Linked DNA regions of Saccharomyces cerevisiae S288C. The gene in region 2 interacts genetically with the main gene of each other region. Each region holds a gene or a part of one and is shown on either strand. Other genes may lie near its edges.

Region 1 (3,587 bases), on a different chromosome or scaffold from region 2:
TCGTGGTCAGAAACAACAGGATATCACAGCAATCTATTCAGTGAGACGGAATTGAATGGAAACTTTGCCATGCATTATATGATCGATAGATTTGGCGTCAATTCTAGAAAATTAGTACTGGGAATGGCCGCCTACGGAAGAAGTTTCCATATCAAAGATAACAAATTCGAACCATTCAATCAAAATACTGTATTAATTAACAAAATTTTCAAAGGAGTGGGCAAGCCCACTAAAGAAATAGATAAAGCTGATGGCAAGGAGGGCATCTGGCCTTACAAAAATTTACCAAAGATTGGTACAATAGAACAATACGATCCAAAATATGTTTCAGCATATTGCTTTGATGAAAAAAATTCAATATTTATCAGTTATGATAACACTAAATCAGTCAAAACTAAGGCTGAATATGTGACACATAACAATTTAGGCGGAGGCTTTTGGTGGGAGTCATGTGGTGAAGCTTATGCAAATGAGTCAAGGTCGTTGATAAACGCATTTAATGAAGGCTTGCACTTTAATGTGTCATCAAAACCATCAATATTTCAAGATGTGAGAGTTAAAAAATATTACTTGAATAAATATGGCGATGGCGGATTTTTATCTCCATATTTAAAGCATTTGGATTCAAGAAAGCAATGAATACGAATGTGGGCGTATATAATAACAAAAAGTTTGGTCTATTTATTATCCACTCCGTATATGTATATACATATATACAAATTTCGTTTATTAATGTTAGAGGCTTATAAAAAAAAGCTTGACTTTTCCTTATGTTTCAAAGAGAGGATTTTTGTTGTTATTTTCATAATAGCATATCCATTCTTGAAAAGACTTCAAATACACCAGCAATAACTTCCAATTGTAAATCATGACCAGGATTGTTTTCTATCTCTTCTTTAACTTCCTTGTTTAAATTAACGGAGACACCTAACTCAGTTTCCTTTTCTAAATCAAATGGGTATTGCGAAAATTGTGCCATTATTTCTTCAGCTCTACTAATTGCCTTATCTCTCTTCTCATATTCCAACGTAGTCAGGACATTCTCCAATACGTTTGCCCCATATGATCCACATATTAAAGCTAAAGTTCTAATGATTTTGAAAGATGTTGTCTCCGGAAAATATTCATTGTAACTTAATTCCATGTTCCTCGATACGAGTACAGAAAGTACTCTGCGCTTAATGGCTTCTTTGCAGCTGGCGTCTGCAATGGGGTGTGTCGCCATGTCAAACAAAAAGAAATTTTTCATTTCTGTTCTCAATACACCTTTATCGACCAAACCTTTTGCCAATCTTTCCCTTACTTGTTTCAATTGATAGTTGATCTTTAAAAGGTTCCATGTTTCACCACTTAAAAGATCAATCCAGTTAGAAATTGACAAAGGTTCGTCGTTTTTCATCAATTGCAAAGTTTCATCCAGTAAAACTTCCCCAGTTTTGGAACTGTCAATAACTTCAATCAACCTTTCGGAAAGATCGAACCTTTTCCTGGCGGAATCATCTAAGATTCTGATTTTACCTCTTAACGCTAATTCTATAATTATACAACCACGCAAAGCATATGAAATACTATCATTCCAAAACGACAAATATCCTTCTCTATCTCTTAAGCCCATCAATAAGACTTCTTCCATCAACGTTAACGTAGGGATATTGATGTTGTCTCTCAATTTCGATTCTTCTGGGTCATATGCAATCTTTTTGTTTGTTCCATTGTCATCATCCCCGTCAACAGCAATATTTGCGATTTTGTCTCCTTTGGTATTGTTAGCAGAAGAATGAATGGAGGAAGTATCTCCAGAATCCGCCCTATTGACTCTACGACGTTGTAAAGTAGACATGATTTTTGCTTTGTATTTTTTTAGATAGTTTTTGTTTGAATTCTTTTACGTTATCAGATCAAAAGTTGTAATGAAAATATAGCCAACAATGAAACTGCTAATTTAGCTCTATTTGTTAGCGTGGAAATTTGAAATTTATTTTTAATCTATAAATGCAGCAGCCCAAACCGAAACAAAAGAATAAGTGAGTTGAACAGAGTAAGCAACGGGCCGATATAGAACTGAAAAAGTCAACGTACCCAGAAAGCAATTAACTGCGACACAAATAGATGTCAATGTCCAAAAAGGATAGATAAACAAGATTACGATCCAAGGCAGGGATCTAATTGTTTTTAGGTAAATGCGTACCCATTAGCCTCTTTTTTTCAGTAGTAGTTGACTGCTCAGGAAGTAAAAAAATGAGCCAGAATTGATCATTAAAAACGAAAAAAGGGTAACTCTTCGGTGTATTTTTTATTATTATACCATAGAGTACTGAAATAATGTTTAATTTGTCAACGATTGAACTGATGAACTAGGGATATTACCTCCTGTTTTATAATTGTTGCTAGTTTAAGAATCGGCGAGAGTTATTTTGTGCTTGAAAACTGTTTTTGATTCAAAAAAAAAATGGGAGCCAAGACGTCAAAGCTTTCCAAAGATGACCTGACATGTTTGAAACAATCCACCTATTTTGATAGAAGAGAAATCCAGCAATGGCATAAAGGATTTTTGAGGGATTGCCCTAGTGGCCAACTAGCTAGGGAAGATTTTGTTAAGATATACAAACAGTTTTTTCCATTTGGTTCTCCTGAAGATTTTGCTAATCACCTTTTTACAGTTTTTGATAAAGACAACAATGGATTCATACATTTTGAAGAGTTTATCACAGTTTTGAGTACAACGTCCAGAGGAACTTTGGAGGAAAAACTGAGCTGGGCTTTCGAACTTTATGATTTGAACCATGATGGATATATTACATTTGATGAAATGCTAACCATTGTGGCGAGTGTTTATAAAATGATGGGGTCTATGGTTACACTTAATGAGGATGAGGCAACGCCCGAAATGAGGGTAAAGAAGATCTTCAAGTTGATGGATAAGAACGAAGATGGTTACATTACGCTGGACGAATTCAGAGAAGGTTCTAAAGTCGATCCCTCTATTATTGGTGCCTTAAACCTTTACGATGGCTTAATATGAAAACTTTGTTTTTGCTTCTTATGGATTGGATGTTATAACAGTAGAAGTAATTTTAGGATAATTTTAAATAAAAATAATATTAAAAATAATAATAATACTAATAATAAATGAGAATAAAATGTTGATAAATGAGGGATAAGGTCTATTCATACGTCTCATCCAAGAAGGAGAAAATATCAGAATCTTGAGTTTTAAATAGATTAATTATTGAAATTCCAATCGAATATGGAATTTCTTGAGTATCTCTGGAATGTGTTATCGGTTTCATTTCATTGGATGGTATCAAAAACCTTTTTAACGATCTGTTATTTATATCACGCACGATCACCCATCTTACTTTAAAGGCTTTGCCATATTTTTGTTCATCTTCCCATATACTGGTGTCCAAATCCATTTTCAAATCCGATACCATTTCTGCAACGCCACAGAATCTTCCTGATGTGTTGATTGAAAAAAATAAAAACACTTTGGCTCCCGAATTAAGCTTTTTATATGCCTCAGATAGCCTTTTGTTGCCGAAATGAGTAGACGACCAAATTCCGTTGTAAAACGACCTTTTGACATG
Region 2 (5,394 bases):
AAAGCGTTAATTGCAGAGGATAAGGCTAGCGAACCAATTAATGGTGAAGAAAAAGAAGAAGGTGAAAAAGACGGTAATGCCGAACAAGGGAAGCAAAAAGAGGTACAAGACGAGCAAGAGGAAGTACAAATGCCGAATAAAGAGCTTGTTCAAAGAAGTCTGAAATTACTAGAAATTTGGAAGAATGATGACTCGGAGCAGATAGAACTTAAGAATTTCTTCGTTGATGTTTAACATAGAGTTCAACAACGTTGTTCAGTTGTAGTATATATTTTACTGTGAAATACGCTCAAAAAGTAGCGGGATAAATCGTTTCAGGAAGTATAATTTCTTACAAAACTATAACAAGATCGTCTAAGTAACATACATAAAGAAATCACATAAATTTTTAAAATTCGAGGTCAAAAAAATCAGGTGGATACATAACTTACCTTAAGTTATCAAGATTTTCAGTACACACAATGTGATTACACTGATTTATAAAACCACCTTACGGCCTCTTATAAGTAATAACGTGGCTCATCAAAAACATGGTAGAAGTGACCCCTCTCACCTTCGCCTAAAAACTTATCTGGAAATTTCATGTCCTCATATTCCGGTTCACTCATATGACCGTATTCATACATAGAATCCGAGTGCTCTACTAACGCTTGCTCACTCAAAACTTGGAACTTACCAACTTGTAGCTCCGTATCGGTTATCGTTCCTCTTGCAACTCTAGCATATCCTGTTCTTCTCAAGCCCCTATACAAGATATACTCACACCATCTATCATCGTCAGAAGGATCAATGTCGTGCATTCCGGATGTTTCACTAACGTACGTATTGTAGTTGCCTTCACCTGGATCAACAACTAAGTAACTTAATAAAATAGCTGGGCGAGTCGTATTGCCCATGAGCTTAGCCATGTAGTTACTTTGCAGTCTTCTATCCTCTTCATCCTCTTCTTGTCCACTATGGAATACAAAGACGTCAACGAGAGTGTCATTGTACGTTTGAAGTGTGGCATGAATGGCTGGCGCAAGTTCCCCAACTGGAGAGGGCAATAAATGATGCGTAGAATTTACGATAGGGAATTTAGAAAGAAGAACACAGCCCCAGGTATGTTTATTTGGACCTGGTCCGAAATCTGCATACATATTCAAATCATGAGCTAGTTTGCTAGTTAGATCCCTGTTCCCCATGGTAATTCTTTGTGTATCTGTTTCTAGTAGACCTACCACATCTAGTTCCATATCTTTAATAAGGTTGATCATTCTGTCTTCAGATGCCCACATATCATTATCGAGACCAAAGTGGATAGTCCAAATACCAGCTGTAATCAACTGAGAATCTGGATGATAAGGCTGAGGAATTCCTGTAGGTCTAATATCATACACGAACCTAGCTGTTAGTGATAGCAGGGCCACGGCAAAGAAGAAAACATAAATGAAGAATTTTTTGCCCATAGTCACCAGTTGAATGTTAAGGTTTTTGCATGTTAAAGCACCAATAATGATAAATGTGGAAGAAAAGGCAAGAACCGTCTCAATCTTCTCCCTCAGTACCCAGCCCATTGGAACAAATGCGTATGCAACGACCCAAACATGGGCAAGGACAAAGATAATATAAACGGAGAATGATAGGACATAAACCCATATGTTTTGAACTTGGCCTAATGCAGAAAAATACGAAGGAACTAACCAAAGCATAGCGATAGCGTACAATAAACCACCGAAAATATATTTAGGCCATTGTGTAATGCTTCTAGCTGAAAGTACAGCAGTGGATATGAGAAGCAACAAACATGGAACTAATGGCTTGCCCATAAACTTCACAGAACTCAAAGAAGCAAATAACATGACCGTACAAGTTAAGGCGCCCCAAGGCCATGGCAAGGGACCGTGTGATTCATTGTAACCTTCCCATGCCCAATAAATAGTAGTAGAAGAATCCGTCAATAACTGATGAATTCCGAATAACAACGAGCCAAAACCAACAGCCAAAAATAATTTGCCAATCAACGAAGCAGATTTTGCTTGAGCATTCCTTTTCCCTTCGAAATTAATTGAATTAACATAAGGCGACAGCATGCCGAATAAAACAGTAAGCACGAGAGCTGTCTTATTATACCCACCATTACGTTCATCTAAAATGACCCAAGTTGGATTGTTGGTATAGAACCCCATTTTCAAGATCACAGATGCAACAAGACCTAACAGCCAAGTTAGAGCAAAAGAGAAACTAGTCTCCGCATTTGTGATATATCTTAGATTTTGTACAAACGTTGCAACGGTAATGGAAGTTCCCACAGCTACAGAAATCAACCTTAATTCTGGCATCTGAACAATATAGGCACCAATGGCAATAATACCTCCTAAAAGTACACCATATTGCGTGAAGGCTTCAGAAACGAACGGCAGATATAAGAAAATGGGTCCCAAATAACCCAATATTGCAGCTTCATAACCTGAGATTCCCATATACCATAGCGGGAAATGCCAAATACTACATAACAGGGACGTAACGTTCGACCAGAAAAGAAAACCGTTAAAAATATTTGTTAGTAAGTAAAAAAAAGAGTCAAACCTGAAATATGAACCAGTTGCGCTTCTAGCAACGGGTTTTTCCTTTTCAACCTTCTTTTCACCACTTTTCTGCAATTCTGAACTTTTTTCTTCTCCATAATTTATGGGACTAGAGTCTCTAATTTGGAAAAAACTGGTATTACCGGGTTTCTCATTAAAAGCGAGAACAATATCTATCTTTTTGAAATCAGCGTAAGCAAATGCATCAAATGCAATATCTAAAAGAATCAGAGACCATTCGAAATAAGCATATATAGAATATGCCCCAGCTCTCTGTTGGACGGAGTGCTGAATGTACCAGTAAATCATCGGGAACAATGTTCCAAAAAAAATTGTAGCAGTCAACCCTTTGTTCTTCGAAGTTAAAGGACTAGAATAGCGGGTAATCATTATATCCCATGGTAACGTTAAAACAATGTATGTGATCATAAATATATCATGAATATCGTGGTCATCTGTACTTGTAATGTATACCCAACCACCGCAAGAGACTGTCCGGAGTACACCGACAAGGAAGCATACCTTAGATTGGTTCAAGTAGTAGTGACCTAGTAGCAGTAAAAATCTTGGAAAAGCAGTTAGAGCTATTAAGATTTGGAAAATAGAACGTTCCGGATAGCGGTCCCCGATAGTGGCTGATACACTAGGAAACCACTCATCTGGATACGTATAATGTGCATTGGTTACAATTTTATGAAAATGTAATGAATAACCAGTGACCAAAGCTGCAAAGAAGGCGGAGAATGCACAAATAGTATGAGCTATAGGGATGATCTTCCCATTGATGATCAGCATAACTGGCGGTGGATACCTTCTGTATTCCTGGTTACTTATTCCTCGAGAAATCGGACATTAAAAGGGTGCAAATACTGTGGAGAAATTATAAGTTACCAAGTCAAAAAGCGAATGAGAATCTATTGTTGCGATTTTTTTGGTTACTACTTCTTACCCGAACTAACTTTACATAATAAAAAAGCATGAAGCGCATATTCAGGGACTCAAAAATCCCAAACTGGCACTTCTGTATATACCGATGAGCATACTTTGATTGTAAAAAACAACATTAAAAAGAACTGCAAACCTGAACCAAGAATACTTAATTTCAAAACCGAGAAATGAGGTACAACTTGTAGAAGTTCACTTAAACTTATTGAGCATACAATCTCAACAAAACTAACTGCAAAGTTTGTTGCTATAGTCATATAGTAATACTAGCAGGAAGCCATTAATCAAAAAGAAACTCCATATAAAACGTAATAAATATTATGAATAATAGTACAATATAAGAACAAAGACGAAGAAAATACATTATAACTGAAGTGCCAATATTAGAAAAAAAAAAGGTGGAATATCCTAGTGGAAAAATATCATCTATGCGGTGAAAGAATTAAATAGATACTATGGATTGTTTCGATCTATCCTTTTATCTGCTGCTTGCCTTTTTTTTTCATTCTCCTTCTTCAGTCTTTTTCCATAGGCGAGTCCACAGGGACTACAAAGTTCCCTGTTTTGGTCGGGTCCACTACGCCATTGAATTGTCCAAGTGTCTTTACATTTAGAGCATTCCTTTATCTCACCATTTGGGAGGATTGTTTGTCTCTTTTCTCTTTTAGGACGACTAGTAGTCTTTTTGCTGTATTTCTTCGTAATACTGGCAGACCGACTAGTTCCTTGTGCACAACTATGGTAGCCTTCAAGATTGTTTGCTTCTTGGCTAGTCGTACGTCTCTCGGAATTGCATGCACTAGTTACACGATTCTTTGAGGGTGTAATTTCGTTCAAAGAGCTGGTTTTGTTCTTAACAATATTTCTTGTAAGATCTCTTAGTTGTTCGGCATTCTCAATTTTTTTTTCAACATCAACAGCCCTTATTTGAGAAAAGGATACTTCAATAAATGAGCAACTTGCATAAACTCTTCCGCGTTCCTTATATGCCTTCTTTTTATCGTTTGACTTCCAGTCATCAATTTCTCTATTTAATAATAACGTTTTCTCCATATCTGACTTTTTAACTACTCTAGTTAAGAAGGAACTTCCAGAGTTGTCATAATTATTATATCGCATACTAGCAATAGTAAATGTCTGGTTATTTACCTAGCAACCTCTTAACAAAGCGATAACAATGAAACAGCAATATAAGTCTATTTAATTGACAACATCATTGATAAAAGTTTGAACAAGCGTCTAAAAGTCGAAGAAGTTCATTTCAAAGTTTTGTGTATCGAGCTTGATGATACTTATTTAGGGATCCGCTCTAGTTTACTGTGATACAACTGAAAAACATTACAAAGCTATCGCGCCTGCATTCTCATATTAGTGGCGTATGTTTGTGTCACATTCGATACTTCTACATAATACAATGACTGAACCCTTACCGCTGGCACAGGAATACCGCGCCGCGAAAGCAGGGTCTAGGAGAAACAATAGAATTCTTGGCGATGAGAGAGGGGAAGGCTTTAATAAAAAAAAATAGCGCTTATCCGATTCTGTTGGAATAAGTGGCTATCAATATTTACATGTTGATATGGTAGTAAGGATATAAATGCTTATATTGAATATTTGGAATAAGCATCAACTATCACTTATTGAAAAGGACTCGAACAAAAAAATATGAAATGTCGAAAGCCACATCACTGAGAAGTTGTTGGATTGAAGCTCTAAAATGTCATCTTTTAGTAGTATTCGTGTTACTAGTATATTATCACATGCGGTGTAAAAAGATGACGTAAAGATTGAGAAACAGTCATCAACTGTTATGGAAGCTGAAATGCAAATATTGATAATGTAATAGGATAATGAAACGTATAAAATGAAAAAGAATAATAAA
Region 3 (4,716 bases), on a different chromosome or scaffold from region 2:
TTTATATGCTCTTTATATAATTTTATGTATATTATAGTAGAAAAAGCAAAGAAAAAAAAGAAAATTGATATTATTAGCGAAGCTTTTTCACAAATTAATCCGTAACAAACAAATTGGCAAAGACAATTGAAGGGAGTAGTGCGAAATATGGGCCGTGATATATGCACATTAGACAATGTTTACGCTAACAATTTGGGCATGCTAACCAAACTAGCTCATGTGACAGTACCAAACTTATATCAAGATGCCTTCTTCAGTGCATTATTCGCTGAGGATAGCTTAGTTGCAAAAAATAAAAAGCCATCTTCGAAGAAGGATGTACATTTCACACAGATGGCTTATTACAGTGAAATACCAGTGGGTGGTTTGGTTGCTAAATTAGTTCCTAAAAAACAAAACGAACTATCTCTCAAGGGCATTCAAATCGAATTTTTGGGCGTGTTGCCTAATTATAGGCACAAATCCATCGGTTCAAAATTACTGAAGTTTGCAGAAGACAAATGCTCAGAATGTCATCAACATAACGTGTTTGTCTATTTACCAGCAGTGGATGATCTTACAAAGCAATGGTTTATAGCTCATGGCTTCGAACAAGTGGGCGAAACTGTCAACAATTTCATAAAAGGTGTAAATGGCGACGAACAAGATGCTATCTTATTGAAAAAACACATTTCTTAACAGATGGCTGAAAAATTTTTTTTTTTTTTTTGGTTTTGCTTTGTATACACATGTATCTATTTTTATAAAGATGAAATATATACGTCTAAGAGCTAAAATGAAAAACTATACTAATCACTTATATCTATTCTGGTGATTCATCATCTTCAGCTTCTGTATCCGTATCGATATCAGTATAATCGCTAGCATCACTTTCATCATCACTTTCGGTTTCGTCGTCATCAGTAGAGTACTCATCATCCTCCTCAGAATACACCTCTACTTGTTCCACTGCAGGAGAATCACGAACTTTCATATTCATGGTAATATCCAAATCTGTAGTGAAATAATCTGTGGATTTAACGATTACTCTAAAAAAGAAATCACCAACAGTTTCAGGTGCAGGCTGACCTAATGGAATTTTTATGGTCCCGATTTCCCAATCATTTATATCGAATTTTTCGTGTTTGGTTAAATCCATTTTTATCCTCTTATCAAAGAAATCTTTGTCATCGTTCAAGTTCTTGTAAGATAGCTTTTCAATGATAATTGGCGTTTGAAGTATTTTACCATCTTTTTGAGAACTTACCAGACAGCACCAACTCCCACGTCTCTTTGTAGGGAAAAATGGTGCAAAGGAATATGGGACGAGTGGCTGTTTACTCATCATAGCAAATGGATCTCTTTGAGATTCAAAATCTTGAGGTTCTGTTAAATTTTCTTCAGGAATTAAGCTAGTTGGTATCAATGGCTGTTTAGCAGAACGAACCAGTACTTTCAAAGAAATGTATGGGGTAGATGATGGTGTTACTTGGTTCTCACCTGGGACAAGGAAGTCTGCCTTGATGATCTTTAGATTTGGAATATGCGATGCAACTCTCAAAGTTTCGTTTAACTTTGCTTGATCCTTTATTCCAAGAACCTCACCAATCTTGGCATCTTCTAAAGTAAACAATTTACCTAATGTATGAATATCTCCGGTTTTGGTAATAAAGTGCTCTTTATCTACGTTCGGCAATTGAAGGATTTGACAGTTTGGTGTTAATGGTACAGCCTGAACAATACACTTGAAAGTATTGATTGCACCCAATGCAATATCTAAATTTCTGAATCCACAAGCAATATCCAATAAACCGTGTAACAAAGAGTGACATTTGGCCACTATTCTAAATTTCGCATTGTTAAGTTTACCACTATCTCTGCGGTTAATATGATCTTGCAAAAGTTTTTCAAAATCCGTTGGTTGCAAATCCGGGAAGAATTGTTTAAATTCATGAGCAAATGATAACCAGTGTAAGATCAAATCTGTGGTGACAATCTCAGATGGCTTGTAATTGACTAAGTTACTAACAAAATTAGAAGCCGTCACATTATGTATTCCCTTCTTAGTATACGATTGTGTTCTTGCCCACCATCTACTAACAAAATATGGCAAGATTAAACCTAGTAGCGCAACATAACAAACCACTAATAATGGAGATGCACTTCCATCTACCAAAAATCTTGGTAGAGCGATACCATGTGAAGTAGATTGTGGGCCATCTGGATGACCGTATTTCAAATAGTTTTGCCTAACCAATTCGTCAGTAAGGGATTCGTAAGCCTTCGTAATCTGAACATAAGTTTCTTCCATCACACTTTTCTCATCAGGTGTTAGGCCCTTTGCTAATTTATCTGGATGAAATTTAACAGATAATTTTCTATAAGCAGATTTGATGTCTCTATCGGAAGCACTAGTAGAGATACCAAGGATTTCATAAGGATCAAATAATTTTGTAGCAGCGTCTTTAATCGCGTCATTACTATTAATCCTTTGCAGAAGAATTGCAACTAAGATCCAACCCACAATAATTATAATATTTCTCCTGCTCCATATTTTGGACTTCTTATTACTATTTTTATCAAACTTCCTTCTAAATTGTTTGATTTCATCACTGGTGTATTCTTCATTCAAGTTCTTGAAAACTTCCTCATTAAACTCCTTACTCTTCCCTGAATTCCCATCTTCAGCATTGGCCCCAAAAAAAATTTGGTATATTTGAAGCAGTGTCATAGGCCCGACGACCATCAAGAGCCCCGTTAAAATGAAGGACGGCCACGTCTCACTAGCCTCATCATACTCGTAATTTGTAGGCATTGTGCTGTAATATGCAGTATATTTATTTTGTTGCGAAGGCCTTCTTTGGTCAATTATAACTGACTATTGTTCCAGTCGCATCTTTTATTCGTTCAGTGATCTTCGACGTGTTCAAGACAAATTTTTCAGAAAACGCCTTTCCGTAACGAGTGACCAATTCGCGTTATAAGAGCGATTGTGTCAGTAATGAAGTCAGATTGTGACATTATAAAGCTAAGACGTTAATAACTCAAAATAGAAAAGAAGCATGAGAGCACCACCTTCACCGAGAAAGTCCAAATCTGGTCATTTTTTTTACCTATATTTTCGACTGTGTCAACTGTTCAGTGGCCGGAAATTAAAGAGGAGGTGGCATGTCCACAAACTTCACATTCACCAATATAATACTCGCTGGAACTTGAGCCCCCTCTCCGAAATACACATTGAGGACATGATAAATGAACCGTCTGGACTATGTCCAGGAAGTTCCAAAAAGAAACCACTACTGATTGCAAGGTTTCCCAAGGGTTGCCAAGAATCACCAAGGGTATATGTACTGCAAAGGAACAATTTGTCTCGTTTAAAATTAAGCAAAAGAAAATATGCCCTAAGGTTCTATCACAATGAAATTTTTGGCAATAATTTAAAGAGAAAAGACGGAAGCATCCACAAAGTTGAACACCAACAGTGCGCAGAAACCGTTAGAAAGATCAAGAAAGTCACAGCAAACCATGCTGATGTTAAAATAATATTTCACGATAAAAATACTATAAGAAGTGACAAATTAGGGGGTAGGAGTAATAAGATGCAGACTAGGCCTAGTGTTCTTGAAGAGGATGTAGAAGAAGAAGTCTCTTCGGTATATATCAGATTTTGTGACGACCATTCCCTGAGAGTTAAAGATTATCACTCTTTGCACAGGCATTCTAAAAAATCTTCTAAAGAAAAACGAAATAATCAGGAGATTGGAAAATCTAAGTTGCTTGGGAAGCTTTTTGAAGAGGAAACATCGCGTCAAAACAAAGGTGTAGAGAAGAAACTAGATACGATTGTGATACAGAAATTTCAAAATTATCCTATTGTCTCCTTCTCTCGTGTCATTTAACAAAAAGATATATACAAACATAGGATACTAAGAGGAAAAGCATCCCAAAAAGAAGAAATGCTTGCATGCCATGTATTACATAATTAAAGAAAAAATTTTATTAACATACTTCCTTATACTTACAATATGTATTCTTTCAGTTCAATTTATTTATACCCGATGTCATTAGTCTCTTCGACAAACAATGCAGCAGACTGATGGAGTACTTTGCCAATAAGGTCAATTTGTTCTTGAGCCCTCTTCCAGTCATCATCGTAAATCGCATCCATCACTCCTGGAAATGTCCAGAAATCTACATTTCCACCATTTTTAGATTTATCCTCCTGTATCAATGTTGGTCCGAACAAAACGTTCTTATAAAATGATCTATTAGGTAGACCCGCCGGAGAGCATGTTCTTCTACCAATATTAGTCAATTTTTTATTCCATGTCCACCTATTAATTGAAAGTAAGGAGGGCTCTATACCATCCCCATGCGACCATACTATGTTCTCCCAACCTTGAGTCCATGACGCCCATTCGCTACCGATTTTCTTCCAAAATAACAAACCTTTGATTATTGATGTGAAGTTTAGTTTTTCAGGGTATGCTTGCTCTAACCTTTGCAATCTTTCATCGATATCTTCAACATAGCTTATTATGTCAAAATGAAGTAGCGGGTCATCAATCAATTCCATACTAATATGTAAAAGATATACTAGCAAATCCTTGACAGATTGTTGGTTCTGTTCGTCTTCCAGAATCTTCTCAACACGTTCAAATTTATCCTCAGATGTTTCAGTTGGGGTGTCACGGTTTCTCGTAGAATCAGAAGATATTACAGATACAGGAATTCCAT

What was found. A genetic interaction does not mean that the proteins touch.
Region 1: of CWH43 (region 2) and VPS74, changing one enhances a phenotype caused by changing the other (phenotypic enhancement), as found in Saccharomyces cerevisiae (2 studies listed by BioGRID, with this or other methods).
Region 3: mutations in CWH43 (region 2) and SEC63 together harm fitness more than expected from each alone (negative genetic interaction), as found in Saccharomyces cerevisiae (2 studies listed by BioGRID).

The regions. Positions count from the first base shown.
Region 1 is NC_001136.10:1,220,310-1,223,896, forward strand, and holds VPS74 (Vps74p), read right to left. Parts: upstream 1,841-3,587; coding exon 803-1,840; downstream 1-802. Other genes in the region: CTS2 (putative chitinase), read left to right, coding at 1-639; FRQ1 (frequenin), read left to right, coding at 2,450-3,022; PHO92 (mRNA-binding phosphate metabolism regulator), read right to left, coding at 3,165-3,587.
Region 2 is NC_001135.5:144,273-149,666, forward strand, and holds CWH43 (Cwh43p), read right to left. Parts: upstream 3,363-5,394; coding exon 501-3,362; downstream 1-500. Other genes in the region: RNA-binding ribosome assembly factor RBP95, read left to right, coding at 1-234; SRD1 (Srd1p), read right to left, coding at 3,966-4,631.
Region 3 is NC_001147.6:804,230-808,945, forward strand, and holds SEC63 (protein-transporting protein SEC63), read right to left. Parts: upstream 2,795-4,716; coding exon 803-2,794; downstream 1-802. Other genes in the region: peptide alpha-N-acetyltransferase subunit NAT5, read left to right, coding at 148-678; OSW1 (Osw1p), read left to right, coding at 3,042-3,878; TRE2 (putative zinc metalloprotease), read right to left, coding at 4,025-4,716. UniProt on the Saccharomyces cerevisiae protein: Acts as a component of the Sec62/63 complex which is involved in SRP-independent post-translational translocation across the endoplasmic reticulum (ER) and functions together with the Sec61 complex and KAR2 in a channel-forming translocon complex.